Linked DNA regions of Lonchura striata. The protein of the gene in region 2 purifies or fractionates together with the protein of the main gene of each other region. This does not show direct contact. Links are inferred from orthologs where the notes say so. Each region holds a gene or a part of one and is shown on either strand. Other genes may lie near its edges. The genes, in order: SETD1B, CXXC1, OGT and BOD1L1.

Region 1 (7,109 bases), on a different chromosome or scaffold from region 2:
ATGCTGTGTTGGTTGTGCACTAAACTGTTGAAACAAAAATATCAGCATTTTTAAGAAAATGGTGTTAGCAATATCTTTTTCCCAAGAAAGAGTGCAGCAAACCAGTCTTAAACTAGAAATGCCACCTTTAGAATGTAGAAGTACAATCAGCAACTGATCCACACCTCCTCAGTCTTAGACATTTTCTAAAATTCAGGCAGATTTTAGCAAAGCCCTTTCACTAGCACACTGGGAGGAGAAGAGAACAGACCAAAGGCAATGCCTTCACACTTGCAGAAACTTTATTTGGCTTCTGAGGGCTCGGGAGTGGGGCTGGAGCTGGTTCCTCCAGCACAGGGAGCTGCTGTCGCTTTAAGAGCCAGTCTCACACTTATACACTCGCACACACTGACAAGTGCTGCGTGTGCACTCTGCTGTGCCAGCCCCCAGCCCGCTCTAAGTATCAATGAAATGCCAGGCACGCAGGGGACAGCACCCAGCCCCGCTGCTGCCACCGGAATCCACAGATTTGGGTCCCAGGACTTGCCCAAAAATCCCAAGTTTGCAAAACGCAGGTGCCACCGGGTCCAGCAGCCCTAGCAGGTGGCTGAGAGGGACCAGCCTGGGGCAGGGAGATGGGGGACATGAGAGGGTAGCAAGCAGGGACAGGGATGGGCAGGGGAGAGGCAGGATGGCAGCATTTTGCAAATTACAGGGCTGTCTCTTAGCAACAGACAACACATTTGGCTCCACGTGACTCGCCCAGGCCCCAGACACCAGACCCGCTGCCGGCTCCCTTCGTATTTTTAATCACAGGTCCCTGCCCTATGCAACAGCCCCTGTGGTGGGAGTGGGACGGGCAGGGGCTCTGCAAACCCCAAATGTGCCCCCTCACCTTTTGTATCCAGCTCCACGTGGATGATGTTGCCCATGACAGAAGTGTTGTGAAGGTGCTGCACAGCCTCCCGGGCACCCTTGACAGTGGCAAAGATGACTTTGGCAATGCCCAGGTGCTTCTTGTTCTTGGGGTTGTAGAGAATCTCCACCTCTTCCACTTCGCCGTATTTCTTGCACATGTCGGCCAGAAAGTTTTCACGGATGTTGTCGTTCAGCTTGGCAAAGGTGACCTGCTTGGGAGGCACTGGCCCCACGTAAAATTCATCAATCTGGAAACGAGCACAAGGTGGGGAATGATAAAAATTATCGGCATTGTTAATGAGTACGGGGGAGGGACCTAAGGATGGCACGGGACGGAGGGGGTTAAACCATCCTGCAAACTTTGGGGTGGAAAAAAAACCTCCAAGGCTCTGGGTGAACCTCGGAGCTGAGCAGAGGCTCTGCCGCTGCAGCCAGTCATTGTAACCGGCTCTTTTCTGGGCTACAAAGATGCATTTTGAGCAGTACTGTCAGCGGAGAGCCCCCCCACCACTGTCCCCTGCCCCAGAAGCCCCAGCTCCAAAACCTTCAAGTGATCTCGTTAGACAGATGCATTGATTTCTTGTTATCCTCATAGAAGAGGATTATTGTTAAACAGTTTGCTAAATAACAATGTTAATATAAATATGACTGTCATTTAAACGGTCCATTAAACTATTTGGAACTCAGGCTTCACTCCCAGATAAACAAGTTTCCAGAGCTAAAGCCAAAAGTCAGGGCAGTACCTTGAATTTGGGGACAGACAGCTCCAACTCCTTAGTTTTGGTCCATATTCGCCCTATTCTGGGATCCCTGACACAATCCACAGGAGCGATCCCCGAGTTCTGGGAGAAGGAGGAGGAGGAAGAGGAGGGGAGAAAACATAGAAACAGCAATAACAAGACTTGAAATTTAAGACAAAAATAAAAGAAAAAATAAATCCCGAGGAAGCACGGGCTGTCTCAAGGGAAGGGGAAAGCGCACACACACACGTGTCAAATTGCAATACTGCTGGGAAATGCACACAGATTGGAAACACAGAAAAAAGCCGCAGGTTTGGGCTCCTGACAGTTGAATACACAGTGTCAGGTGGCTGTAACTTTGGTGGCTGTGCGTGTCCCCCCCCCCCAAGACCCCCCTCCCACACACACGCGCTACGGCGAGGATTTCCACGACCCGGAGGGACCCCCAGCCCCCAAAACGCCGGTAAAACAGAGGCTGGTGGGGGGAGGCACGACACAATGGGGGAAACCCGGGAGCCCCCCACTCACAGGCATGCTGAAATGTTGCCCATCGTAACGGTAGAGTTTGTGCTGTCCTTTTTTCAGAGCCGGGTCAATAATCAACTTGTAACTTCTCCAATGGTGATTTCTTTTCTCGACAGAAGTGCTGGCTTGCGTGCTGTTCTCCATTCCGTTGATCCAACCTGAACGCGGGGGGGAGGGGGGGGAAGAGAGAAAGGGGTAAGGGGAAAAGAAAGAAAAAGCACACTAAAAACCATAAAGTTAAAAAAAATATTAAACAAAGACATCTTCGTTTCGGTGTGGGTTTTGTTTTTTGTTTTTTGTTTTTTTTTTTAACGAGCCGCCCGATCTACACACCCAGGCAGGGAGGAAATCCACCGCGAAACGAGCCCCAAAATGGGGGAATTGCCAACTGGGTCCCCCCCTCCACCCCAAGCAGACAAGAGGCAGAGAGGGAGGAGGAGGAGAGGAGAAGGGAAAGGGAAAAAAAAAAAAAAAAAAAAAAAAAGAAGAAGACGAAGGGGAAAAAAAGACCCAATCTCACTTGAACTCTGCTTTTTGCCATGATCTTCAGGGTGCTTGGCTTTTTCCCCCGCCTTGGTCTCTCGGAAAGACATCGCGCTGGGCGGCCGATCGTCTCCGGGCGGCGAAAGGCGAGCTCCCGTCTCACATGGGGCCGGTTACCGGCGCGGGCTGCCCGCCAGGCTCCTGCCTCCCGTTTTCGCGAGCCACCACATATTGTGTGTGTGCTCGCTGCTGGCGGCGGCCGGGATCCCACAATACACCGCTGCGAGCGCCGCGAACGCCTAACCGCGCTCCGCCGCCTGCACATTCACGGCGGCCGCGCCGCGCAGCCCCCGGCCCGCGGCCGCCCGCCGCCGCCCCGCCGCCGCCGAGCGCCGCCGCATGGGCCGCCACCGGGACGCGCGGGTTTTTTTTCCCTCCCCGCCGCGGGGTTAACGGCATGCGGGGGGGCGAGTGGAATCTGCCCGCTGCATTTACCTTAGAGCAAACTGTTTCTAAACAAGATGGACCTATAGGTGGGACAAGTTGGTTTTTTTTTTTTCGTTTTTTTTTTCTCTTTTTTTTTTTTAGGGAAAGACTTCAGCGAGCCCGGGCGACCGCGGGGGCGGGTGGAGCGCGGACCCGCCGCGCCGCTGCGGCGGAGAGTGCGGGGGGGGGGGGGGTGGCAACACACGCAGAGGAAGGGGTGATGGAAGATGGGGGAGCAGCTTTGCTTATTAAAGGTCCGGAGCCCTCGTCAGCCAATCAGCGGGGAGGTTCCATTTTGTTTTCGGTGTTAGAGGCGGGCGGCGCGGTGCCCCCGGCGCTCGGCGGGCGCGGGGCCGGGCGGAGCGCGGCGGGCGCATGGCGCGGCCGTCCCGGGGCGCGGGGCCGCGGCGGCCCCGGGAGCGGCCGCGCCATTGGCTGGGGCGGCGGCAGCGCGGTGGGCGCAGCCAATGGGAGCGCGGCTTCCATGGGGCTTGAGTTATTAGGCGGCGGGGTAAAAGCACCGCGCGGCAGAAGCCAAGGAGAGGCCGCGGGACCCGCAGCCATTTTTCTGCAGTGGAGCGAAATGGCCAACTGGGCTTTTCCTTTGTTCCATAAAGGGGGATCCGCCATGTGAATCCACACCACGCGGGGTGGTGGGAGCCTCTAGCACGGTGCCAGACGACTCACTGAAGAAGGAGGATTTAAATATATAGATATATCTCAAACCCTTAACAAAAAAAAAAAAAAAAAAAAAAAGTAATGCGGATTTTTTTCACCCTTATGATTCGGGATCCATCTTTGTCTTGTGTAACTAGGTCACGGCACACCCTATGTCAGCAGTTAACAATTTCGAATGCCAACAAAAAAAGAGTAAATACATTCTTTTTCTATTTTTTCATTGTTTTGGGGGTTTTTAAGCTTTAAGCAGCTCTGATGACTGAACAATAAATTTGAGAGACTTCTCTCTTGTATTAAACACTTGATTCCTGGCCATTTTTATTAACTCCTTTGGTGCTTAAAAGGTAATGTTTTAAATATGGGTATAGGAATAGTAATTTCTGGCAAAAAAAAAAAATAAGGCAATTTTACTATGATAAGCTTTTTCTCTTTCTTTCCTCTTACATTGTAAGTACCCAATCCATTCTGTCCTCGCTAAGTGTAGTTTTCATGTTAATGTTACTGAAGTGGTCCTTATTGCTAAGCCTTCATTTGCATGTCTTATGTTTTTGTCTGTTTAAACCAATTTATGCTTTTTGAAATATTTTACTTATAAAGCAAATTATCTGGCTAAGATATGCTTAAAAGTTGTTTAGCACCAGTAAATGTTAACTAGGTGTTTTCACACTGACATGTGCAGCCTAAAACTATTGAGGAGAATATTTTTAGTGTCTGCGTGCTCTGTGGAAAAACACTGAACGTCCTTTTTATGTACAGAGTAAATCTGCCACAGGAAGGTAGATTTAAGCCTCGAGCAGGAGTCCTCGCCTGTGTACGGTCAGTCAACATAGCTGGACTTTTTCTATAGCTTTTTTTCCCCCTTTTTTTCCTCTTTTTTTGATGCTAGACCACTGTCACACAAAGATCCATAACTTATCTTAACAAGATCCGCTTTGCCTCGCAAACTTACGAGAGAAGTGGTGATACAGATCATATATATACTTATAGCCATTATTTTAAAAAAGAGTAACAACTTCACCTTCAGAGCTGCATTCAACTATGGTGTGCGGGTAAGTAAACCCTTTTGCCCTTGCAGAGGAACAAATAGCCCAGGCCTGTAGCTAATGGTATTGTCCTGGGTGGAAAGATCCCAATGGTCGTCTGAAAGCGGTGGCGATCTCCTTCTCCTCAGAAACATCTAACAGTACCTCTGAAACGTCTGTTTTCAGGGAGGGATTTGATTTCTCTTTCTGCACAAAGCTCTTGGTCGTCCTCAGCCCTGGGTGGGTTTGGTTTTTTTTTTGGTGCGGAGAGACGCTGTGAATCCATTGCAGGCAGGCATTACGTGGCTGTTAAATTGAAAGCACAAAAAAAAAAAAAAATCTGCCTGTGAACAGTAAGATGTTAGTGAGGTTGATGTTAAAAAAGGCGAGAAGGCGGTGGTGGTGGTAGGGATCCCTTACATGTTTTATCCGTCTAATTACAGAAGCTCGACAAAAAACAGGCAACAAAATGGGGGGGTGTTTTTCACGACGGTGAGTCTTAATGGCGGATGTCTCCCTAGAAAGCACTGTAAAATCCTTCATACCGAGAGGCAGTGACTTGGAGAGAGGGGGGAAAAAGGAGGTCTGGAAGTATATCCAAAATGAGGGAGTTTCCTTCCAAGTGAGGGACCCTTTGCAGCCTGAGTGTTACAGATGGAGAGCCGTGACGCAGTTGATATTCACAGCAGTTGTGCTTTAGTGCCGCCACCCAGCCCACGAAAATGGCCTCCCCGCCGAATTCTGGTGGGTTTATTATGTGAAAGGCTGCGGCAGCACCGTGTCCCGGGCGGCGGGAGGGGCGGGCACGGCGCTCCCGGTCGCGCTCCGTGTTGTGTGAGGGCAGCCGCCATCATGGCTTCTCCTTCCCTTCGGCGCCGCGTTCTCCTCAGCGCTGGGCGGTGGCGCGGCGGGCTCTCCCCCCGCTGCCTCCCGGCGCTCCGCGTCCCGGGCGCTGCAGGGAAATGATGGGTTTGGGGTGTTGTTTTTTGGTTGGTTTTTTTTTTTTTTCCCTTTTCCCCCTCCCATCCCCCAGCGCTTTGTGAGGGGCTGTGGAAGGGCGAAGCTGGGCAGGGAGCAGCGGCTCTTTCTCCCCGCGCACAACATGGCGGGAGCGCCCTGCGGCAGCGGGGCTGGCGGCGCTCCAGCCGGGCCGGGCGGGGGGGCGGCCGGCCGGGAGGACAAAGGCAGCTCGGATAATGCCGGCTGCTATAAATAACACCGCCCTTCCCCCGCCGCAGCCTCCTGCTCTCTTTATAAAAACAGCAAGCCATGGAAGTCGCCTAATGCAGAGGGGGGGAAAAAGAGGAACAAACAACACCACCCCCCTTTCCCTATACATATAAGGAGAAAAAAATAAAATGCACAAAAAAAATTAAAGCCCGGGCGGTGTGGAAGACGGGGGGAAGCAGCAGCGCTGGCCGCGGGAGGGGCCGGGCGGCGCCGCCACCTCCCCGCCCGGAGCGGGTGCGCCGGGGGGAGCGCGGCCGCCGCTCCCCGTCACATGGCTCTTTGTTGTTTTCCTTCTCTGCCTCTCCTGGGCTGTTCCCCCTCCGCCATCACCCAGCCGGGGCAGCGCTGCCCTGCCTCCTCCGGCCTGCAGCGCCGAGCTCCCCGGGCCCGCTCGGGCAGGGCTGGCGCGGAGCCGGTGCCGTGCTGCAGTGGAGCCGCCATGGCTCGATGAGGTGTTACATGTGGCGTCTTTTTTTTTTTTTCTTCTTCTTTTTTTTTTTTTCCTTCTGATTTGTTTTTTTGGTGGGATTTTTTTTCTTTCCCCGAGCAGATTCTGCTGCAGCTCGCTTTGAGTGGAGGCTGAGGGTTATCTCGGAATTTCACAATCCTCGCTGTGCTCTGCGGGGAATTGCAGCTTGTGCTCACTGCAGACCCAGAGTAGGTGAGCCAGGAAAGCCTGGCTTGACCAACCACTTCAGAGGGCAGGACAGGGAGGAAAAGCAAACACTGTATAGAGGTGGCCTCCCTGGTAAGGCTAGAGCAGGACCGTCCTGCGGACTCTGAGGGAGGGAGAAGGTAAGTGGCTGCTTGGCAGAGGCTGTCTGCGGGAGCGGCATGTGCCGGGCAGGGTGCGCCCTGCCCGCAGCTCCTGCGGCTCAGCACAAGCCGGTCCGTGGGTTTGTACAACCTGTGCTGTGGTATGTGCCGAGGCTCAGGGCTGTTTCCCTGCGAGGGAGCAGGGTGCTGCCGCGAAGGAGGCACCGCAGCCCGCGCCTTTCGCAACAACTGCGCTCATCGCTCCATTCCTCGCTCCCCCCCTCGCTCCTCA
Region 2 (7,500 bases):
CAGGGAAACATGAGGGGGAAGGGTGGGAAAAATTAGGGAAAAAGCAGGAAAATGTTAGTGGGAAAGGGCGGGAAAAGGGTGGGAAAACGTGAGGGGAAAAAGGCAAAAAAACATGAGGGGAGGAAAAAAGGCAAGAAAACGGGAGGGGAGAAAAAAGGCGGGAAAACGTGAGGGGAGGAAAAAAGGCAGGAAAACGTGAGGGGAGAAAAAAGGCGGGAAAACGTGAGGGGAGAAAAAAGGCGGGAAAACGTGAGGGGAGGAAAAAAGGCGGGAAAACGTGAGGGGAGGAAAAAAGGCGGGAAAACGTGAGGGGAGGAAAAAGACAGGAGAACGTGTGGGGGAAAAGGGTGGGAAAACCTGAGAAAATAGGAAGGATAGCAGCTGAGAAAGCTGCAGAAAGAAGGTGAGGGCAAATGGGGGATGAAAAGGGACAAAATGTAAGGACACAAGACAGAAGGGTGTGAAAAGAGGACTGGAAAGAGGGTGTGGGTGACAGAAAATGGAGCAAGAGGGAAATGAGGGACAGAAATGAAAGGGACAGAGGCGGCAGGAACTGGAGGAAAGAGGTGACAGGAATGGGAGAAACCCTGGAGAAAAGAGATAAGGAGGGAGGAAATGGTGAAGTGTGACAGAAAATGTGGGGCTGAGGGTTGGAAAAGGGGAACTAAGAAGACGACAAAGATGACAGGAGGGGACAAACCAGTGCCCACCATCATCATCTGCTGTGTCCCTACCGTGTACCCCTGTGTCCCCTCCATGTACCCCTGTGTCTCCGCTGTGTACCCCTGTGTCCCCTCCATGTACCTCTGTGTCCCCTCCATGTACCCCTGTGTCTCCGCTGTGTACCCTTGTGTCCCCTCCATGTACTCTGTGTCCCCTCCATGTACCCTGTGTCCCCTCCGTGTACCCTCCGTCCCCTCCATGTACCCTGTGTCCCCACATGTTCCTGCAGGCTCAGTGATGGACCTGAACCCACGCAGTGAGAGGCTCTACAGCCAGGACCCCCCAAGACCGCCCTGTGTCCCAGTGTCCCCCCGCCCCAGGGGCCAGGCGGTCTCGGGTGTCCCCAGGAGGGGCAATGTCCCTGCGTCCTGCCCAGTTCCCCCCTCAGGTCCCCCTGGGGGGATCCCACAGCTGGAGGTGCTGCTGAGGCAGATGCACAGCCTGCAGAAAGGTGAGTGTGAGGAGCCCTGTGCTCCCCCATATTCCCATGTCCCACATGCCCTCCTGTGCTCCCTCATGTGCCTGCCACGTCCCCCTGTGTCCCATGCGTCCCTCTCTCTGTCCCACCATGTCCCACAGTCCGTGAGACCACGGCACAGGAGCTGGTGAAGGCACAAGACTGCAGTGAGGGGTTGCGGCAGCACCTGGAGCAGCGTGAGTCACCTGGGGGGACACTGAGGGGTCTGGGGGATCCCTTAGGGGTCTGGAGGGGGACACTGAGATGTTTGGGGGATCCCTTAGGGGTCTGGAGGGGGACACTGAGAGGTTTGGGGGATCCCTTAGGGGTCTGGAGGGGGACACTAAGATGTTTGGGGGATCCCTTAGGGGTCCGGAGGGGGACACTGAGAGGTTTGGGGGATCCCTTAGGGGTCTGGAGGGGGACACTGAGATGTTTGGGGGATCTCTGAGGGGTCTGGAGGGGGATATAGAGAGGAGTTTTGGTGGGGGACACTGAGAGAGGGTCTGGAGGCGGACGCTGAGGGGTCTGGGGACACACAGAGAGGGGTCTGTAGGGTCCTTGGGTGGTGTGTAGGGATCCTGAGGGGTTTGCGGGGACAGAGGGCTCTGAGCTCATTGCCCCCTCCCCACAGTGGACCAGCGCAAGGAGGCACTGGAGAGGTCCTGGCAGCAGGTGCAGGGTGAGCCCAGGGGCCTTGGGGTCTTTGGGGCCCCCCCAAAACCTCCCCTGATGCCCCCTGGACCTCTAGCCCCCTTGACCCCCATGATTCCCTGACCCTTGTGGCCCCTCCTGACTCCCCCACACAGAGGGACCCCCTTGGCCCCTGTGACCCCCTGACCCCTCTGACCTCAACCCCTGTGACCCCCTGTGACCCCCTGTGACCCCCCAGAGTCACTGCAGAGAGCGCAGCTGCAAGGGAAGGAGGTGGAGGCCAAAGGCCAGAGGTGAGTGGGAACACCTGTGACCCTCCTCAACCTCACCTGTGCCCCCCCCCCAAAACACACCTGGTGGCCCCTGACCCCCCACAGGCACTGCGGGCTCTGCCTGGAGCAGCAGCAGGACATGGAAGGGACAAAGCAGCACTGGAAGCAGCTGAAAGACCTGCGCCGGGGACACAGGTGGGGCTGAGGGACACAGGTGGGGCTGGGGGACACAGGTGGGGCTGGGGACACAGGTGGGGCTGGGGGACACAGCCTGAGGGACACAGGTGGGGCTGGCGGACACAGGTAGGGCTGGGGGACACAGCCTGAGGGATACAGGTGGGGCTGGGGGACACAAGTGGGCTGGGGGTGGCACCAGGTGACCCACACAGGTCATGTGGCCACCGTGTCACCCCTGTGTCCCCTCACCCTCAGGTGGCAGCACTGCCAGCAGCTCGAGTCCATCATGGAGGAGCTCAAGCACCTGCGTGTCACACACGTAAGCCCGGGGCTGGGGTCCCTCACACACCTGGGGGTCCTGGCACACCTGGGTGTCCTGGCACACCCTGGGATCACACACCCTGTCCCCTGCTCCGTGTCCCCCTCCCACCACTGTCCCCCCACAGGCTCCGGCCCACCTGGAGGCTGAACTGGTGCAGCTGGAGAAGATGGAGGAGAAGTGGCTGAGCTGGGGTGAGCCCCTGACACCTGAATGACCCCCAGGACCCCCTTCAGACACCCCAGTGACCCCTGCCAACACCTGAGTGATCTCCTGACCGGCCCTGGGCCACCTGAGCCCCTCTCCCACAAGCCCCTGAGTGACCCCCTGGACACCTGAGCCCCCCCAAACCCAGGTGTGCCCCCTTGGGCTGACCGGTGTCCCCCCCTTGCGCAGAGCGCCGTGTGATGGACACGGAGGAGCAGCTGGGCCCACAGGCACCTGTGCTCAGGTGAGTGCCCAGCTCTGGCCCCGCCCCGCCAAGGTGGCCCCGCCCACTCAGGCCTGGCCCCGCCCCCTAACCCCCATTCTCGCAGGCGATTGGTGCAGCAGGACCAGGAGGGGGCGGAGCGACAGCTGGAGGTGGAGCTGGGCCGGCAGCAGCTGAGCCGGCAGCGCCGTGACAGGTGTGTGACCTCTGGGACAGGTGTGGGACAGGTGTGGGACACCTGGGACAGGTGTGGGACCCCTGGGACAGGTGTGTGACCTCTGGGACAGGTGTGGGACAGGTGTGGGACACCTGGTACAGGTGTGGGACCTCTGGGACAGGTGTGGGACAGGTGTGGGACCCCTGGGACAGGTGTGGGACAGGTGTGGGACCCCTGGGACAGGTGTGTGACCTCTGGGACAGGTGTGGGACAGATGTGGGACACCTGGGACAGCTGTGTGACCTCTGGGACAGGTGTGGAACACCTGGGACAGGTGTGGGACCCCTGGGACAGGTGTGTGACACCTGTGACAGGTGTGGGACAGGTGTGTGACACCTGTGACAGGTGTGGGACAGGTGTGTGACAGGTGTGTGACACCTGGTACAGGTGTATGACCTCTGGGACAGGTGTGTGACACCTGGGACAGGTGTGTGACAGGTGTGGGACACCTGGGACAAGTGTGTGACCTCTGGGACAGGTGTGTGACAAGTGTGGGACCCCTGGGACAGGTGTGTGGGACAGGTGTGGCCCTGTCACCTGGCCCCACCCACCTCTGGCCCCGCCCCCAGGTTGGCCGAGGAGCTGCAGCAGCTGCAGCGCCCCCTGGAGGCTCAGCCAGAGTGATGGGGACAAGATGGACACACCCCACGGGACACCTGTGCCACACCTCTGCGTGTTACCTGCGCGCCACCTGTGCCTGCCGTGTTCTCATGTCCCCCATTGTCCCCCTCTGGTCCCCAAAGCTCCCCCATGTCCCCCATTGTCCCTCAAGTTCCCCCCATCCTCCCCACATTTCCCAATTGTCCCTCATGTCCCCATTTTCCCCCATGTCCCCAGTTTCTCTCCAGTGTCCCCCATGTGCCCCCAGGTCCTCATGTGCCCCAAAATGTCCCGCATGTGCCCTCATGTCCCCGATGTCCCTCATGTCCCCAGTTTCTCCCCAATGTCCCCCATGTCCCCAGTGTCCCCTTATGTCCCCATTTTCCCCATGTGCCCCCAACGTCCCCTCAGGTCCCTGATGTCCCCCATGTCCCCTAAAATCCCCAATGTACCCCACGTCCCGCTGTCCCCCACGTCCCCAATAAACGCCCTGCCACCACTGCTCTCTCCGGCGTCTTTTTTGCGACCGCGGGTGGCAATCCCCCCAAACACGGCGGCCCTCATGGCCGCCATCGCTCCCCTGGCCGCCGCCATGCTGTACGTCGTTCTCCCGTACCGGAAGCGGAAGTTGGTTCCGCCCCCGCTTCCGGCCGCTGCTGGGCCTAGCCCGGAGCGTCCCTCGGAGGCGGCGGCAGCGATGGTGAGGGGGGGACCGGGGGTGTGGGGGAGCTCGGGGGGTCTGCGGTGTCCGGGGCACCCCCGGGCCTGACACCCCCGCCGGTACCCCCTCAGGACAGCGAATTCTCGGACGCGGAGGCGGCCCCGGGAGGGGAGGAGAACGCGCCGGTTTATTGCGTGTGCCGCAAGCCGGACATCAACTGCTTCATGATGTGAGGGGAAATGGGGTCCTGAACTGCTTTGTGGTGTGAGGGGAAATAGGGGTCCTGAAGTGCTTCGTGGTGTGAGGGGGAATTGGGGGGGTCCTGAACTGCTTCGTGGTGTGAGGGGAACGGGGGTCCTGAACTGCTTCGTGGTGTGAGGGGAAATGGGGGGGGTCCTGAACTGCTTCGTGGTGTGAGGGGGAATTGGGGGGGTCCTGAACTGCTTCATGGGGTGAGGGGGAATGGGGGTCCTGAACTGCTTCGTGGTATGAGGGGGAATTGGGGGGCTCCTGAACTGCTTCGTGGTGTGAGGGGAAATGGGGTCCTGAACTGCTTCGTGGTGTGAGGGGAAATGGGGGTCCTCAAGTGATTCAGGATGTGAGGGGGTCTGGGGGTCCCCAAGTGCTTCATGATGTGAGGGGGGGTCTGAGGGGTCGCAGCAGATCTGAGGGGCCAGCTGGGGGTCCTGGGTGCTTTTCAGGGTGGGAGTTGGGGGGGTCCCAGCTTGTCTTGGCCCCTGGGGCTGTTGAGGGGGTGCCTTGAAGCAGGGAGGGGTGCAGAGTCCCCCTGGGGGGCTTCGGGGGTCCCTGGCTGAGGGTCTCGGTGTCTCCCCTGTCCCGCAGCGGCTGCGACAACTGCAACGAGTGGTTCCATGGGGACTGCATCAACATCACCGAGCGCATGGCCAAGGCCATCCGCGAGTGGTACTGCGGGCAGTGCCGCGGTGAGAGGGGCTGGGGGCTCTGGGGGGCTCTGGGGGGCTTTGGGGGGGTTCTGGGGGGTCACTGGGGAGTGGCAGTGCTGCAGTGAGAGGGGCTGGGGGCTCTGGGGGGCTCTGGGGGGCTTTGGGGGGGTTCTGGGGGGTCATTGGGGAGTGGCAGTGCTGCAGTGAGAGGGGCTGGGGGCTCTGGGGGGCTTTGGGGGGGTTCTGGGGGGTCATTGGGGAGTGGCAGTGCTGCAGTGAGAGGGGCTGGGGGCTCTGGGGGGCTTTGGGGGGGTTCTGGGGGGTCATTGGGGAGTGTTGGGCTGAAGTTAGAGGGGTGGGGGGTTCTGATTTGGGGGGGTTCCAGGGACACTTGGGGTCTGGGTGGTTTTTGGGGTGCCTGATCCCAGATCAAGTGCTCGGCCCTTATGCGAGGCGGGGGTGTCCTGGTGGGGTTTGAGGGGTTGCTGGTGGGATTCGGGATGCCTGACCTTGTTTTTGGGGTGCCTGACCCCGTTTTTGGGGTGTCCCCGGTGGTGGACCCCCTGACCCCTCTGTGACCCCCCTCCCAGAGAAGGATCCGTCCCTGGAGATCCGGTACCGGCACAAGAAGTGGCGGGAGAAGGAGCATGAGGGGGCCAAAGGGCAGGAGATGGAGCAGGGCCGGGCTGCCAAGGTGGGCTCAGGGGGTGGGGACCCCACTAAGGGGGACACCCCAATGCTGGGGGGAGGCTGGGAGGTGCCTGAGTCCATTGGGATGAGGATTTGGGGGACAGCAGGAAGCTGGGGGGTGCTTTGAGGGAGATTTGGGAGACCCCTGACCTTCTCTGGGTGCCTGAGATCCCTTCTGGATTGGGTTTTGGGGTGTCCCGGGTGGACTTTTGGGGTGCCTGACTCAATTTTTTAGTCTCCTGACCCTATTTTTGGGGTGTTTGACCCCAGATCAAGCACTCAGCCTGCATTTGGAGATTGCGAGGTGGGGGTGTCCCTGGTGGGATTTAGGATGTCCCTAATGGAATTTGGACTGTTCCTGATGGATTTTGGTGTGTCTAACTCAATTTATGAGGTGCCTGACCCCATTTTTGGGGTGTCTGACCCCATTTTTGTTTGCCTGACCCCAGATCAAGCGCTCAGCCCGTGTGTGTGGGGAGTGCAAGGCGGAGGTGACCCTGGTGGGATTTGGGGTGTTCCTGGTGGCTTTTGGGGTGCCTGAATCCATTTTCGGGGTGCCTGACCCCATTTTTGGAGTTCCTGACCCCATTTTCGGGGTGCCTGACCCCGTTTTTGGGTGCCCGACCCCAGATCAAGCGCTCGGCCCGCATGTGCGGGGAGTGCGAGGCGTGCCGGCGCCCCGAGGACTGCGGGCAGTGCGACTTCTGCCGGGACATGAAGAAATTCGGGGGCCCCAACAAGATCCGCCAGAAGTGCCGCCTGCGGCAGTGCCAGCTGCGGGCGCGGGTGAGCGGGCACCCAGCGTGTCCCCAACGTGTCCCCAGTGTGTCCCCAGCGTGTCCTTGGTGTGTGTTGGCAGTGGGGTTTGTCCCCTGTGTGGCGTGGCCTCAGTGCCTGCCAGGGCTGGGGGTGTTGGGGTGACCTTGGTGTGTCCCCGCTGTGTCCCCAGTGTGGCTCTTTGTCACAGTGTCCCTGTCGTGTGGCCTCTGTCACCACCTCGTGTCCCTTTGTCACCCTGTCCCGTGTCCCTTTGTCACTGTCTTGCTGTGTCCTTGTGTCTCTTTGTCACCTCATGCCACATCCCTGATGTGTCACGCTCGTGGCATGTCCCCGTGTCCCCCACTGCTCACGTGCTCTATGTCCCCAAAAACTGCTGCCTGTCCCTGTGTCACCCTGAGGTGTCCCCAAGTGTCCCCATGTCTGTGTGTCACTGTCCACAGTGTCCCTGACATGTTCCCAACATCTGTTATGTCCCTGTGTCACCTTGTCTCGCTGTCCTCACGTTCCATGTCTGTGTCACTCTTATCAGCGTGTCCCCGATGTGTCCCCAACATGTCTTGTGTACCCAAGTGTCCCGTGTCCCTGTGTGTTCTTGTTCTCTGTCTCTGTGTCTCC
Region 3 (7,956 bases), on a different chromosome or scaffold from region 2:
GTATTTATTTGCTTCACTACTTCTGGAAGTAGAAACCTGGTGACTCATGCTACAGAGGGTTAATATGCAATCCCTTGTTAATTCTGAATAGGGAAATGGTGAAGGATATTCTACAGATTCACAAGATCATAATTAGATTATTATGGTTGCATCCAATGATAATTAGGAGCTTGGAACAGATGGTTGCCACTGTAGATACCTCATAGTTGTAAAAGGAAAAGAAAAAGCACACAGGTTAAAGGGATTAAATAATTAGAAATGAACTTGTTACAGTAACCACGAATATTTTTCCTTAGTCTTTATTCTGTATTAAACAAAACAATAAATGTTGAAGGAGAGAGAATAGCAGAAGGATATGCAGTAATAGGACTATGAAAATAAATTACTAGTAGGATGAAGAAAGTGAGGAGTCATAAGACTGAAGGTGATACCAGAAAGACTGGTGAGAGCTATTCTGAACAATGCAGGCAAACAGAGATTGGTTATGAATAGTTCTGTGTAGTATTGTAGCCATCTGTAGCTTTGTGAATGCCTTCTAGATTTGGAAGTATTCAAGCTTTCTGTAGAAATTTATAGTCTTTGGGACAGAATCTGCATGTTTTCTTTATCTTGGACTCATGGGGACTGTGGGAAGAACAGGAAGGGAAGGACAGGAAAATATTTGAGGGAAGTGCTGTATGCTTTTAAAGTATATTATGAAAATAAGCACTTTTTTTACAACCTAGTGCTATTTTCCAGAAATAACTAGTTGAACAAGGAACTCTGGTCTGTAAGGCTGGAGATTGCCAATTCAAGGATGAGCACATCAGGTAGAAGTGTGTGGAGACTGTGCTCTCTGATCTTGCAATAAAAAGGATCCTTGCTCTGAGAGTGATACACATATTTTCCTTTCTGTCTTTCCCTTCCTGTACTCCCACACCCATCTCTGTGGCCCAGGTGTCCCTCACACCCCTTGGGTGGTGTCCAGTATATCCTTCCTCAGTGCCACTGCTGTTCTGGGTGATGTCAGCAGTGCCCTCCTGAGTGTCACTGCTGTTTGTGTTCCCATCCAGATGCGCCAGGGACGAGGTAGGCTGGGCGAGGAAGACTCTGATGTGGATATTGAAGGATTTGATGAGGATGATGATGGCAAGCCCAAGACTCCAGCCCCAGTGAGTGTATTTACAGAAATCCCAGCCACAGTGTATGTGCTGACTTGCAGAGCTGTCTGTTGTGCCTGCTGCCCTGAGACAGGCTCTGAAATGCAGTTTGGAAAAGTTAGCACTGCAAAATGACACAATGCTTCAGAGTGGATAGAGTGGGAAATCTATGATAGAAATGGTAGCATGCTGCTGGATCTTCATCATCCCTGTTTGTGTGACCCAGGAAGTTGAAGATGCAGATGGTGACCTTGCTGATGAAGAAGAAGGATCAGCCCAGCAGACCCAAGCCAGTGTCCTGTATGAAGACTTGCTTATGTCTGATGGAGAGGATGATGATGATGGGAGTGATGAAGAGGGAGATAATCCTTTCTCGTGTAAGTGTCCTTTTCTGATTGTTCATTAACCCAGCTGATCTCATGCTTCTATCACAAAAACATGCTCTAGAGAGCAGAGACCAAAGGGGCAAGATGAGGAAACTGGATGAACACAAATGGGACTGAAAACAAAAGTGTAATGAGAATGCTGTATGTACAGACACACATGAAAGCAGAGTTAAGACAAGATCTTGTTGATTGTATGTCATAAAGTAAAACTGCAAATGGTTCTGAAAACACTGCGAGTATGATTTGGTATGCAGAGCCAGGAATGGGTAGTCTAGTAAAAGTACATTTATTTTGACATGAAATAGGGTTATCAATGTTAAATGTAAAATGTTAATGTTGTCATAAAAAGCAATGTTATCACAAACAGGAAGAGGTGTACAGAGGTTATTCAGATTGTTTCTATGTTTTAATACAAACTTATGCAGAAAAGCATATAGTGGTATTTAGCAATGACTTCTGAAAATTATTAGGAGGGAAGAAGGGGGAATTTTTCAGAGTAGACAAGACATAAGGCCTTTCTGAGTAATGGTGGTAATGAGATTGCTTTGGAATAACATCAGAATTGGGCACTCAGTAAGTGGTGTCACCTCCCAGACACCTTTTCTGCTGCCGTGTGGAGACACGACTTTGTAAACATTCCTTACAGTCAACACTGCAGCCTTTAAACACAGACAGTAGTGGGTATGTAAGTGACAGAACAAACCTGTCAGTTTGTGACCAAACTTTGGTCATTACACAGCTATCCAGCTGAGTGAGAGTGGCAGTGACTCAGATGTGGAGCCCAATGCAGTGAGACCCAAACAACCTCATGTTCTTCAAGAGAACACACGGATGGGCATGGACAATGAAGAAAGCATGATGTCCTATGAAGGAGATGGTGGGGAGACATCTCATGTAATGGAGGACAGCAATATCAGGTAATTAGAACTGGTTAAAATCTCTTCTCTTAAAAGATTTTTGAAGTGTTCATCATAAAAACCTGAAGAATATCTAATATTTTGCTTAAAGTTAACTTGTGACTGTTCTTACTGTTGCAATCATAAAAACCATTTAGTCTTACTGACAGAAATTTGGGATGCTGTTATATTTTCACTAATAAAAATACCAATTAAATTAGAAAAAAAACCACAATTTTTTTTCTTTTAAGTTAGATGATTTCTTGCATATTTGTAGTGGTTTTTCATGCAGGACAAAAAAAGGTTTTTACAAGCTATATCCAATTACAAGATGCCTTTGAAGTTAAAAAGTGATTTAACAGATTGACTTTTTTTTTTCCCTCTAAGAACAAGTATGTCCTGACTTGAAATTCAGTTGTTTAGTTGAAGTCCAGAAGTCTAGGAATATGCATCTTCTGTATTTTGGAAGGTGTTCAATTATTAGAAAATTAAAAGTACAACAGTATCAGCTTTATTTTTTTGCATTCAAGAGAACAGCAACCTACTCTGCCTTCTTTGGGCATTCTGTTGAGTATAAGTATTTGATTCTCTGTTCTTCTACTTGTGGAAGTCAGTTCCTTAGTGTCATTATTGATATTTGCCTAATAAATCACAGGCATCAGAGCTAAAAGGTAGCTGGGCTGGCAGGCAATGGTCATTCCAGCCCAGGATCTTGACCAGAGTCAGCAGGAAGTACTGGAGAAGATGAGAATGGGTTGAAAACATTCCTGCACTTTCTGTCTGCAGGGAAGGTGACAGAAGCTGTGGGAGCGATCAGTTTTTCCTGCCTGAAGTGTATCAGAGTGGAGTGAAGATACTGGAATTGTTTCCTTGGAGAACTGTTTTTTCTTTAGTTTCTGTTTTAAAAAGCTGGCCAGTGACAGAATTGAAATGTGCAGTGGTTCCCTAGGGTTCACAGGACTTCAAGCCAACTCTTAAGCAGTTAAATACAGAATTGATGGTATCAGCAACTAATTTGAAATTTTCTTCTTTCTTCTAGTTATGGCAGCTACGAAGAACCAGACCCAAAGTCCAACACAAGAGACACGAGTTTCAGCAGCATTGGAGGCTATGAGATCTCAGAAGAGGAAGAGGAGGAAGAGCAGCAGCGGTCTGGGCCAAGTGTGTTAAGTCAGGTCCATCTGTCTGAGGATGAGGAGGACAGCGAGGATTTTCACTCCATTGCAGGAGACAGTGACCTGGACTCAGATGAATGAAGTCCCTTCCCTGAGATAATGGTCATCCTGGGCCACTCTTGCCTCCTGAATTTCTCTTGTCCGAGTTTGGTGTGAGGAACAGTGTAGTGTGGGCTGTGTTAACAAGATTTCTTTTAAGATATATTTTAATTGACTATAAAACATGTTATATGAATGAGTAAATGATGAAGAATAAGCATTAGACAAGCATGTCCTGCTGAAGCCTTGGCTTATTGTAGCCTGTACTGGTTCCAGAATCCAGATAGAGATTTGTATGGTTTGTTCTTCAGTCTTTATAGGTGTAAAGTAATTCCTCAGAAATACTGGCTCTTTGGATAAATGAGTATCTGTCAGGAAAAATGCTTGCTCAGAATGAAATACTTGCTGTTGATGAACAATTTTAAGGCAATTTTCATTTCATAAAGGGGAGCTTTTTCTCTGGGACTACAAATACAGTGTCTGATGTCTGACCCCTCAGTGGTTTTGGGAACTGCCTAACTCCTACCAATACCTCAGAAACAGCTGCCCTGCTTTTTCTAGAAGTTGCAGTAAGTTCCAGGTTCCAGAAACCAGACTTTTGGTGATTTGAACCTTTAGGAAGGCTCCCGGTTCACCGGAGACTGCTAACTTTCAGTGCCCCGGGGAGCTAGTGCAGTCCCCGGAGCTCGGTGTGGAGTCCTGGTGCGGCTGACGGAGCTCATGCAGTACAGCAGGAATGGGGACACGGACGCCTTGGCTGCCATTTCTCTGTGCGGGTACACGGTGAGCTCCGGTGTCCCGGTTATTGAGCTCTGCTGTCCGTGTGACGGAGCTGCACTGTGTCTGAGCTGATGCCGCGGTGAGCCCCACCGGCCGATCCCCGCTGTCCCAGCCCCGCTGTCCCAGCCCCGCCGTCCCGCCGTCCCAGCCCCGCCGTCCCAGCCCTGCCGGCCGATCCCCGCCGGCCGAGCCCCGCTGTCCCAGCCCCGCCGTCCCGCCGGCCGATCCCCGCTGTCCCAGCCCCGCTGTCCCAGCCCCGCCGGCCGATCCCCGCTGTCCCAGCCCTGCTGTCCCAGCCCCGCTGTCCCAGCCCCGCCGTCCCGCCGCCGCGGTCCCGCCGGTTCCGCGGGGCCACGTGCGGGAGTGCCGGGAGGCGGCGGCGCATGCGCAGTGCCGCCGCCGTTGGCGCAGCGCTGCGCGCGGAAGGATAACTTTATCTCGACCCGTGCCTATTGCAGCAGGTCCCTCCGCCCGCCGTGTGGCAGCGCTGCCCGGCGCCGCCCGGACTCTTTTCCGCGGGGATAGTTCCGGCCGCGGCCATTCGGTACCGCCGCCGCCGCCATTTCGGGAGCGCCGCCTCAGCGCGCCGCGACCGCGGGCAGCTCGGCCCGGCCCGGCCCGAGCGCACCTTCTGCCGTCGCCGCCACAGCTTCCCCGTCTCCTGTCCCGATGGCGACCTCCGTGGGGAACGTGGCGGACAGCACAGGTACCGTGCGCTGCGGCGCTGCCGAGGACGGGCTGGCCGGGGACGGCGGGGGCCCGGCCGTGCCCTCGGCCCCGGGGCCGCTCCCCGCCGGCCGGGCCGGCGCCCAGCGGAGGTTTCCGGACGCGGCCGGCGCGGTGCCCGCCGCCCGTGGGGTCTGTGCGTGCCGGGCCCCGGCGCGGTCCCGGGCGCGCTCCGGTGGGCGCTGCCCGTGGGCAGCCCCGGGCCGCTGCCGGGGAGGTGTGAGTGCGGCGGGCTCGCTGCTATATTTACCAGACTATCAGGTGACTGCGTTAGAGGGCGAAGTAGGGTAAAAGCCTGACCCAAAGTGTGCGTTGGTTTGCCCAGAATCGCTCGCTGCACTTAGGCAGGACTTTTTTTTCAGCAGCCTGGTCGAATGGAAGGTGTCCCTGCCCGTGGCGGTGGCATTGGAACGAGATTATCTTTAAGGTCCATTCCAACCCAAAACGTTCCATGATTCTGTGGCATAGACGAACGCTAAAGCGCTTTTCTGAACAGTAAAATTGCGTGTTGTATCAAGGAAAGATCCTGCCCTAAATTTAGTTCGCAGATCCAGAACTTGAGGAATGGAGGAGAAATCTGACTTCCTTTGTACAGCAAGAGAAAGAAGTGTTGGCTTACTGAAAGGGTGAAAGGACAGCGCAGCTTTATCCCCCAGATTTTGAGGGTTTCTGTAATCAGGGGGGGTGGGGAGAGCTGAAATGATGCTTGGGAAAAGCAAAAGGAAAAGGAGGATTTTTGGAGAAAGAGACGGGACAGCGGTGCAGGAGATAGGGATCTAAAGAGAAGCGGTAGTGATACGGAGAAGTGCTGCAGTACGGTGTTTCGTACTTTCTCAGCTAGAACTGTGTGTGGTCAGCGAGGCTGCAGCATCCTCTTGTAGCCGGGATCCTTGCGGGTAAAAAGAGCCACGTGCACGCTGGGAGGGAGTCCTGTGCTATCCAGCACCTCCCAGCTGGAGGGAACCACTGCTTCTGTCTGGAACTAGATGGTGTCTGAAGGCAAGGTTGAGCTTGATTGCAAGTGCTTAGGATGGTATTTGTGGGGGGAAAATGGCCTTGGGTGCCTTTCTGGTGGTTCTGTGCAGCTTTTTGTTTGCTTGTATCGTCCAGAACCCTCAGGGAAGGTCATTGTCACAGCACTGTACTAGACTTTTCCAAGGTCACAGTCAAAGCATGCAGCACAAATTAGCCAAGGTACAGAAATTAATTTATGCAAGACACGAAAAGGGATTTTCCTGGCTGTGACTTCTCACTGCAGTTATTTTCTTTACTAATTGATTCAGTGAGCATCCTTTCATGGGCTCTTTTATGGATATTTTGCACTCCATAACTTCCAGCCAACTTTGTATTAAAAGTTTCATTTGTTCTGGGCTTCGTGATGTGGCTGTCCACTTCTGCTTTTCAGTGTACTTCACAATCGATTATAAAATAACTGCTTGGAGGTAGATGACTGGCAGTTTTACACTGAGGTTGCCCTATCTCTGGAGACAAAGGTTTTGGCTTGTTTTGTAAACAGAGGCTCTTGATAAATTAAAGAAAGTGTCAAGTGTTTCTTCGTTTGTTGGTTTTGTTAGTAGTTCTCATTTTCAGGGGTTAAATCTCCACTGCCTGCTCTCTTGATCTGGCAGTTGCACCTGCAGTTTGACTTCTTGCTTTAAGTAGGCAAAATGTAGCATTGATATTATGACTGAAAGCTTCTTTCCCTGCAGTCATAAGTCTTGAAGTGAAAACTTCTGGGGTGTTAAGCTTTGGGGTGCTTTTTAGTTGGTTTTTTTTTTTTTTTTTTTTTTTTTTCTTTGACATTTACTAAAACAATTGAAATGTATTTGAAGAAGAAATTGAGTTCATGAGACACGCTATTCCTCTATCTGGTTTCTCTGTGCCATCAGCGGAAGTTGGCGCTGACTGCCAGAAGGGCAAAACCTGTTAACAGCACAGGGACCAAGTGAGGAACAGTTTGCTGGTGCTCCAGTATTACTGTCAGCACCATTTATAAGCAGTGTGGTTTTCAGCCACAGTTCAACATTCTCATACTGAATAAAGGTTGTACCTTTTTACCTTTGCCAGTATGTTTAACCACATCCTGAAGTCCACGTTGCTCTTACTCAGGGTTTGAAAAACAGGAATCTAATCTGGATCAAGATACTTGGTTACTAATTTGTCAGTTATCTAAAAAGAGACTGGCAGTGGTAGTTCAAATTTACTGTGGCAGAGACAATACACTATCTGGAAAAAATACTGTACTTATATCATACAGGACTTGGAGTCTTATACTGAAACCTACTGGTGCTAAACCCCCAAATTTGAAAGTAATTTAAATAAATTACATCAATCCCAATTTCATAAAATAAATGCTAGGTAGTAAATCTGTATTTATCTTTATGATTATATAAATTATATGATTATGATTATTTTTGCCATCTTTAAAGTTCTCACAAAATCATGAACTTTTGTACTACCTTACTACAAAAATGTAGGTTCAGGTATTGAGGTGCTTTCTTGTATTAGGAAAGGTTTATCTGTTTCATTTAGAGTCCAAATTTTAAAACTGTAGGATGAGGTGGAAAGTGTTTAATGAATGGAATTAAGGGGCTGCAGAGTGCAGGAGGGAAAATGAGAGATACTTGGAGTAATCAAACATTTTAATAGTAAGAGTTGTTGATATAAAGGCAGAATTTGAAGGCCAACACTTCTTTCTATGATGAATGGTTGTGGGTTTTCCAAGTTGCACTTGCTTATTACTTTGTAAGAAATTTTACTTACTTCTCTCACTTCTGGTTGCTTTGTCTAAAATAGGTGGCATTTCATTTAAGTA
Region 4 (7,707 bases), on a different chromosome or scaffold from region 2:
GGCAGGAAGCACTGTACAATTACCAGAGATCCATTTTGCACTGTGACACACCACTGTTCCCGAGCTCTGCCTACAGAAAGTGAGGAATGTCAATGGGAGTGACATCTGAACACAGCCCTTGTTCAACTTTACCAACATCCTAATTCAGATGACAACGTATATAATACATATTCTTTGTATATATATGTATATACACTGCAAGAGAAAGTTGATAGCTCACACCTCTAATATCTCCATAAATGTCATAGAAAATCAACTCAGCGTACTGACTATATAACAAGACTATCAGAAATACCTTATCACTTATCATTTTAGAACAAGCTTTGAAGACGAAGCATTAGGCAGAGTAGCACTGAGAACTGCAGCTGGCTTGTTAACCCATTTTAAAGGAAGTGGGCCCCACAGGATAAAGGCTTGGATTTAAATAAAGGTTACAAAGAGATGGATGGCTGTGAAGTCTCTTAGAACAGGAAAGAATGGACAATTACCTGCAGGAGTGTTTAGGAGTTGATACAGGTAATATTAGGACCTTAGCCATCCAAATTTTATGACACACAGCAACTGCACAGGGAACTGTCTCTTAAATAAAAAGCTGCATCATTGTTCTCTTACACATCTATGTCTTATCTGATCCTATAATACTGAGACCAGCTTTTCTCCCCACAATAAGCTGATCCCTCATAATCTCACCAGAAGTGAGTGAGTGACATGGTCACAGCGTGACATCTCTTTTGCCTTCTACATTTAAACATAGAGTAAGAGACAAGTGTTCTGGCATGCTGCTTGGAGCTCAGCTTGCTAATACTGATACTAACAGCATTATGGTAGCACAAAACCTAGTAAATGATTCTGCTCTCTTAAACACCATTCTTTTGTTAATATACTACTCAGAGAAATGGTAGAATACCTTGTACTGTAACTGATGCATCTGCTTTCTCCTCACTTGGAGATGTACTGGGGCCTGCCTCCTCTTTGTGATTCAATGTGGCTAAAAATTCATGGACAGCTTTTTCCACCTGAGGTCTGAATGTGTGGTTGATCTTTGGGTCCACAACCTGAGAAATAATTCTGTCAATTCCCGATTCCAACATTCCAGACCTGGAACAAAGTTACATAAATTAGTATGAAAAAATAGTTTTTAAGATCATTTAGATGTGCTCCAATGAAGCACCAATGTTTCCTGGGCATTTCCACAGCTATGCACTTAGCCTGTGCCTTACCCATAAGAAAAAATGTGCTAGAGAAACAAAACAATCCAAGCACATGGAATTAATACAAGCAGCCTGTTGTTACATCATTAGTGGTTACAAGTGTGATCAAACTGCAAAAACAGTATTTCTGGAAAAAATTTAGAAGAAACTTTGTATTAGGAATTACCATAGCAAAAAAGAGATGAATTACAGATGGTATGAGGCATAAATAACTACTAAACCACTCATCACTACCCTAAGTTACTTTCTGCCCAGTATTATGTGGCAGGTTCTGCAGCTTTATAGAACACATTTAGCCTTCAGTAAAATAAAAAAGAAAATCCACAGCTATAAAGCTTATCTTTTTAGACCCCTGTAGTCTTTTGTGGGACATATGACAACTCTTGTTGTCATTGCTTTTTTAACAAGAAAGAATAGTTGCTTCCTTCCCTACAAACCAAGCAGTCCTCAGTACAAGTTATCAATGGTACCACCACAGTACAGCTGATTAAGTTTGTCCCCAAATCCGAGGTTTGACCCAATTTAATGGCCAAACTCATGGTACTTTGAAGAAATTTCCTAATGTTTCTTTGAAAAGAAAGTCTGAAGGAACCTTCATGAAATAATGTCATATCAGGTTAAAGCGTCTGACAAAATTTTAACAATAACACCAGTTCTTAAAACCTCTTCTCTGTCCAGCTGTATTTAAATACATTTTTCTATTTTGTGACTTCAGCTTGATGCTCTGCAGAGTTTAGTCTGTGGAACGTTTCCCCTTAGCTCCAAAAATGATTATTGCAATTTTATTAACACCTCCCTTAAAAGAAAAAGCAAAGATAGCATTTAGCTAGGGAGTTACATCTCAAGTCAAAATCGAGTTTTCCACCCCTGCATAAACTTGGATCAGATCAAAGAACATCTGCAGTCTAATTCTGGCTAATACTGAGGGCAAGTTACTACCCCCAGTAGTATTCCATTTTCAACACTGAGAGGGGAAAACAACCCAACTTCTTCAAACATTTCTCTTAAGAAAGCAACCCACTTTACACAGACCCAGACCCTTTGTGACCTATCACAGTACACAAGCATATTCAGAGCAGCTCCAGAGCTGTCACTTACTTGAGAACCTGCTGCCTAATGTTATTTCTCAGCTGGTTCTTGTTGAGATGAGGACTCCAAGTATGAGTTGCCAAATGGTTGGAAACAAAGTTGTCAACGCGCTGTCTCAAATTCTGGTAGGCAGGCTAGAAAGCAACAGCAGAGAGGTTGGACGGGAAGGATCACGTACGTGGCTGGTTATCCTCCGGGAGGCCAGGCTGGTACAGCAAGGAGCCCCGTCGGAAGCCCCGGTGCTCCGCAGGCGCAGCCGCTGCCCTGCGGCAGCGCGTTAAGCACTGCCCCGCCGGGCCCTGCGCGAACCGGGCGTGTGTGACCGTGCGTGCACGGCCGGCCGGCCGCGCTCCCGCCGAACGCGGGCTCCGGCTTCGCTCCCCGGCCGCGAGCGGAGCCGGCCCCGCGGCCGCTCCGCACCGCCCGGCGCACCGCCCCGGGCCGGGCCCGTCCCGACCGCCCGAAGCCCGGGGAGCCCCCGAGCCTCCGCTCCCGCCCGCCCGCACCTTGGTGTCCACGTCGGCCAAGCAGTCGCGGCGGAACTGGTCGAAGAGCCCCTGGCTCTTGAGGTGGTTAACGATCATGGAGACCAGCTCGGGCTCGGCCGCGCCGCCCCCCGCGCCGGCCCCGGCCCCCGGCAGCGGCGGCGGCTGCTGAGGGGGCGGCGGCGGGGGCGGCGGGGGCTGCGGGTTGGTGGCCATGGGGGCGGCGGGGCGGCGGCTGCTGCCGGCGGTGCCGGCCGGGCCCCGGGACGGGGCTGCTCAGCGAGCAGCGGCGGCGCTGGCCCCGGAAGCGGAAGGGGACGGCGGGAGGAAGCGGCGAAGGGGGCAGGCGGAGGCGCCGCCGCCGAGAGCGGCGCCATCGGCGCGGGACGAGCACTGGCGCGGCCGCGCGCAGCCGCCGCGGGCCCTGCACAGGGGCGGAGGGGGCGGAGCCGCTCGCGGCCCCCGGGCCGGCGCGACCCCGATCCGCCGGGCCGAGGAGGCAGAGGAGAGCAGCGGCCGCGGCGCCGCTCGGCCTCCGCCCGCCGCGCACACGGCTCCCCGCGCGGCGCGGCCGCCGCCGGGCGCTGCGGGCACCGCGGGCGCGCCCCTGTCCCCGCCGCCCCGCGCCGCTGCTGCGCTCCCGGCGGCGCCGCGCGGCCCCGCCCTGCGGCCCGCCCCTTCCTGCGCCCGCCGCCATCGCGGTGCGGCGGCGCGCGCGCTTCCTCCCTCAGGGGCGGGGCGGCGCCGCGGGGTCACCGCCGGCGGAAGCGGATGGGGCCGCGATCCGCGATCCGATCGGTCGGGATCGCGATCGGAGTCGCGGTCGCGTCGCTCGGGACGTCTCGGGGCTGCTCCTGGCTGATAACGGGCGCTGCCTCCGCTCCCGCCCCGTGCGGCCTCCGGGGCCGCTGTCGCCGCGCCCCTGGAGGAAGCGGCTGGAAGATGATACTTAAAATACTCGAATTCAAGCTTGCCACCTTTACCTATCAGTGCATTCTCATGCGTTCGTGTAAAAGAAACGTCTTCAACACATTTCTTGTTTCCTGGTTGCCTTCTTGGCCCTTGTTTTTCATGTACAGTCACAACTGTCCAATGTGCTGAGGCAAGGAAGATTCAGATTAGATATTAGAAAACATATTTTTCACTGTTTGGGTGGTCAGGCATTGCAGTGGGTTGCCCAGCAAAGTGATGGAGCCACTGTCCCTGGAATTGTTTGAGGCATCTGGACCTGGTTCTGTGTGATACAATTTAACCTGTAGCCTCTGCTATATATGTTTACAAACTGGTTATGACTAAAATTGCTTTTGCATTTGCTTTTAAGACACTCTTAAGTTTTTGACATATTTTTAATACAAGAAGTCTCAGCAAGTTTCCTAATGTCTTCTAAATAACGTAGACAGCAGATGTAGTTACAGATGCAGTTGCTAAACCTCAAGCAATATTTGAATTGCTGAGGAAATACTAAGATATGAGACAGACAGAAATGAGATGTATATTATATTGTGGGAACAAATTGTTACATGGCTGCAGGCTGGAGAAGTACATGAAAGTACAAGTCACAAATATCAGGGAAGGTGCTTGTGGCTTAGAATGCCTGCTCTGTGGGCTACTGGGGACTGGGAAGGTATTTTTTTCTGTTTCTAGCTCTAGGCTTTTTGTTCCTGAATATGAGAACGGCTCTAAGGCTGAGTAGACCCATTTCGGCCATTGCTGTCACGTCAGCAAGCTGCTCAACTTGTGATTTCAAATTAACATATTTTTATCTCAGATTTTGTCTCATTTTTGTCTAACTAGGGGCACAAGTGTCATAGGAATAAAATACTGTGATGAATTTGGAAATACTTTTACTTGTAGTAGCATAAGTAAACATAAAGCACTGGCAATAGCTCACTTTTACTTTTTTAGACAATGTTGCAGAAATCTTATTTTATGCATGGCTACCACAGGCATCAAATTCAGAGTGGCCAACTGATTCTATGAGTGTTCATAGACTTAAACTCTGTTGAGGTCAGTTCATACCATAATTGTTAAAAATGATGACTGAACTTGGCAGGTTTGTTGCTATTTTCTCGTTTTTGTTTGTCAGTGAAACACTTTGTGTAGTTTTTTCCTCAAAAACTTTGTTCATGTTGTGTATGCTGATAATGAATCTAAATTTATGAAGTATGTGAAATCCAGGTGACAGCTGGATTAAGAAAGTAAAAAAAGAAGGTAAAAGTCCTTCACTTTGCATGGATTAATCTGAACAATTTTGGTAGTGATAGGAGATGCCCTTCTTCTGTGATGAATTCTGTTGCAAAATTCTGTGCTGTGCAAAGATAAAGTACTGCTGTTGGTACTGAGCATACAAAGGTGCTGTTCCTCTTTAACCACTGCAGTCTTTTACAGACAGAGGTACACAGAAAGGGGAGCTCTTTAGTAACATTTTGAGTTTTGTACTAAAAATAAAGACTTTTCAACAGGAATAACTTAAATGCCTGAGCAGATTCTTGGATAGTAGAAGCTCTAAAGCTGCCCAACACCAACAAGAGATCTGTCCTGGATGAATTGCTCACTTCTTCCTCTGCATATGTGGTAACATGTCTGTGGCTTGCACCATCTGTGTTACCATCCATTCTCTGAGGTTTATTATCTTTTATTGTGTGGCTTATTGGTATGTTGTTTATTATGGCACAATAAACCCTAGAACTGGATGGTGAATTGATTTGTTGTATGAATGTGCATTGCCTGATGCATATTTAATTTTTGTTTCTCCCTGTGCATAAACAGTATACTTTTATGATTATCTCTAGGTAGAGAAAGCCTCAGATTTTCTGGTCCTTGCTATTGCAGGATTTTTCTAAAAAAAAAGGCAAAATTATGCCTAGGAGCAGCACTAGTAATCATAATCTAGTCCGCTGTATTTTGGAGCAGCAGAGAAACGGTGCCAGCATTGCTGAGATTTTATGCTTCATCAATAACAGCATATGTGGCTTCAGCTAAGCTGCAGCGTGAAATGCTGTAGTTGCAGGACTGAAATGTAGCCAAGGCACGGACTATACCTTCAGCTGTGATGTGACTGGAATGGTGTCCATATCCTTACATGGGAATAGTTGCAGTAGATAAAATGTTATTGGACTGCCATAAATGGAGGATATGATTCTGTCATCCTTTTTTTAGGTATGTAAATAAGAACATTTGGATAAACTGTTTAGTAGTGCATGCTTGAAGTGCTCTTTCTGGCTTGTAACCATGTTTCCTTCATGTTTTTATCTGTTCAAACAGGTGTATACATGTATTTATATTTTTTATTTGGCTGGCAAGTAGGCCCTGTATAAAATGTGAAGCATGTGGCTTGAGTGAATTATCTGTAGAACAGCAAATGTATTTTGCTTCAATGGGAGGCTGCCTGTTGTGTTTTCTACATGCAAGCCTTTGGGAAGTGCATGAAAACAGTGACTAGACAACATGTTTTTAAGTGATGAAAGGAAAGCTTTTATTTGGAGTAGGCTGTCATGACCTTGCACTGACACCTCAAAAACTCTTTGGTCACTTCTAAAGAGAGCAAAACTAAAACTACCATGTGACTCTGGTTCTCCCACTGGAACTGACCAGGATAACTGTTAGTGATGCTTAAGTTCAGCAGAGATGGACATTTGGTGGCTCCTCAAATTGACAAGTTAAATAGATAGACTGAAGTGCTTTGTAAAAATACTAAACTTGTCATGTTCAGTAGCTAATATAACTGCTTGTATTTGCTGGGAAGATTGTCTGATTAAAGTTTGAGAAAAAGCGAAGTCTTGTAAGTCACATTTCATCAACCTGGATTTTTTAATACTTTTTATTGATATGCAGAGACAATAACTCATTTTATGTAGCCTAACATGGTAGAACCATTTAAAGTTACACCTCTGAGTATAACTTTATCTGAAAAGTTAGGATTATTTTTTCCAATTTCAGAACTTCAGTGTGACACCAAACCTGCACATAATGCTTTTTAAAGTACATTATTTTGAAGGTACAGCTATGCCTTTTCTCCATTTTTCTTATTTTATGTCTCTGTCAATGCCAAGAAATTGAGTTTCTGGATGCCCAAGTTTTGTGAGATGAATAGAGCCTTTTTAGAGGGTGACATTTGAGAGCAAAAAAAGATTACTGTCACAAATAGCTTTAATACACAACATTACTTGATTTTGTTGTTGTTGTTGTTGTAACCAAGAAAGGAATCTTCAAGGGCAGATGGAGCCTTGACCTGCCTGTGAGAGGAAAGCCCATCTGTGTGGCCGTGGCTGTGACTGGTGATGCAACGTTTGTGCTGTTCTCTCTCATGGCAGTGAGAGAAGGGACAGGCACATGACAGCTTTCTTACCTCTTCACAAGCAAACAATGACTAATGGATGTAATATTGTTGGGATTGTTGTTGGCATCTAGGGAGTTTGACATTTAATTCCTGCTAATGTGATCGATGATCTCAACATATCTTTTTTTTCCCCTTTTTATTCCCTGCTTTTTTTTTTTTTATTTTTTTTCTTTTTTTAAATGTAGGTTCCTGCATGCTGGAGAGTTACCACTTTGTTTCTCCATTCTGGTGAAAAATGATAGAAGGAGTTACTGGGCTCCCTTTAATAGAGTTTTTACTTTGGTGTTTGTTTTTGACTGGAAAATACATGTTTTTGCTATTTGTGTACAGGGAGACAGAGAAAACTTAATGGAAACTTGTTCTCCAGAGAGAGCACAAGAGATTATATATTCTGTCTACACTCTTTCACTTTTGCCAAAATGTAATTTTAATGGTAAGGTAAAATGGTACAGCTTAAACATGAAAGCAGAGTCAGTGGATACACAAAAGCGTGACACATTTTATATCAGCATTCTTTGCTGACTACAGCAAGGTGAAATCAAGGTGGAAGCATCGCTTAAATGGAATGCATGAAGCTTAAAGT

What was found.
Region 1: the proteins of CXXC1 (region 2) and SETD1B purify together in Homo sapiens (affinity purification with mass spectrometry; 11 studies listed by BioGRID and IntAct, counting the BioPlex papers as one, with this or other methods). This does not show direct contact. The link is inferred for Lonchura striata from reciprocal best matches to the Homo sapiens genes CXXC1 and SETD1B.
Region 3: the proteins of CXXC1 (region 2) and OGT purify together in Homo sapiens (affinity purification with mass spectrometry; 3 studies listed by BioGRID and IntAct, with this or other methods). This does not show direct contact. The link is inferred for Lonchura striata from reciprocal best matches to the Homo sapiens genes CXXC1 and OGT.
Region 4: the proteins of CXXC1 (region 2) and BOD1L1 purify together in Homo sapiens (affinity purification with mass spectrometry; 5 studies listed by BioGRID and IntAct, counting the BioPlex papers as one, with this or other methods). This does not show direct contact. The link is inferred for Lonchura striata from reciprocal best matches to the Homo sapiens genes CXXC1 and BOD1L1.

What each region holds. Positions count from the first base shown.
Region 1 is NC_134620.1:12,363,906-12,371,014, forward strand, and holds the start of SETD1B (histone-lysine N-methyltransferase SETD1B), read right to left. Parts: upstream 3,008-7,109; 5' UTR 2,756-3,007; coding exon 2,683-2,755; intron 2,321-2,682; coding exon 2,166-2,320; intron 1,740-2,165; coding exon 1,641-1,739; intron 1,146-1,640; coding exon 875-1,145; intron 1-874. UniProt on the Homo sapiens protein: Histone methyltransferase that catalyzes methyl group transfer from S-adenosyl-L-methionine to the epsilon-amino group of 'Lys-4' of histone H3 (H3K4) via a non-processive mechanism.
Region 2 is NC_134638.1:856,187-863,686, reverse strand, and holds the start of CXXC1 (CXXC-type zinc finger protein 1), read left to right. Parts: upstream 1-4,493; 5' UTR 4,494-4,546; coding exon 4,547-4,549; intron 4,550-4,641; coding exon 4,642-4,739; intron 4,740-5,353; coding exon 5,354-5,454; intron 5,455-6,005; coding exon 6,006-6,109; intron 6,110-6,735; coding exon 6,736-6,891; intron 6,892-7,500. UniProt on the Homo sapiens protein: Transcriptional activator that exhibits a unique DNA binding specificity for CpG unmethylated motifs with a preference for CpGG.
Region 3 is NC_134616.1:18,902,619-18,910,574, reverse strand, and holds the start of OGT (UDP-N-acetylglucosamine--peptide N-acetylglucosaminyltransferase 110 kDa subunit), read left to right. Parts: upstream 1-4,952; 5' UTR 4,953-5,084; coding exon 5,085-5,121; intron 5,122-7,956. Other genes in the region: TAF1 (transcription initiation factor TFIID subunit 1), read left to right, coding at 1,053-1,151, 1,366-1,516, 2,265-2,442, 3,461-3,677. UniProt on the Homo sapiens protein: Catalyzes the transfer of a single N-acetylglucosamine from UDP-GlcNAc to a serine or threonine residue in cytoplasmic and nuclear proteins resulting in their modification with a beta-linked N-acetylglucosamine (O-GlcNAc).
Region 4 is NC_134606.1:14,432,751-14,440,457, forward strand, and holds the start of BOD1L1 (biorientation of chromosomes in cell division protein 1-like 1), read right to left. Parts: upstream 3,002-7,707; coding exon 2,807-3,001; intron 2,435-2,806; coding exon 2,310-2,434; intron 1,099-2,309; coding exon 908-1,098; intron 1-907. UniProt on the Homo sapiens protein: Component of the fork protection machinery required to protect stalled/damaged replication forks from uncontrolled DNA2-dependent resection.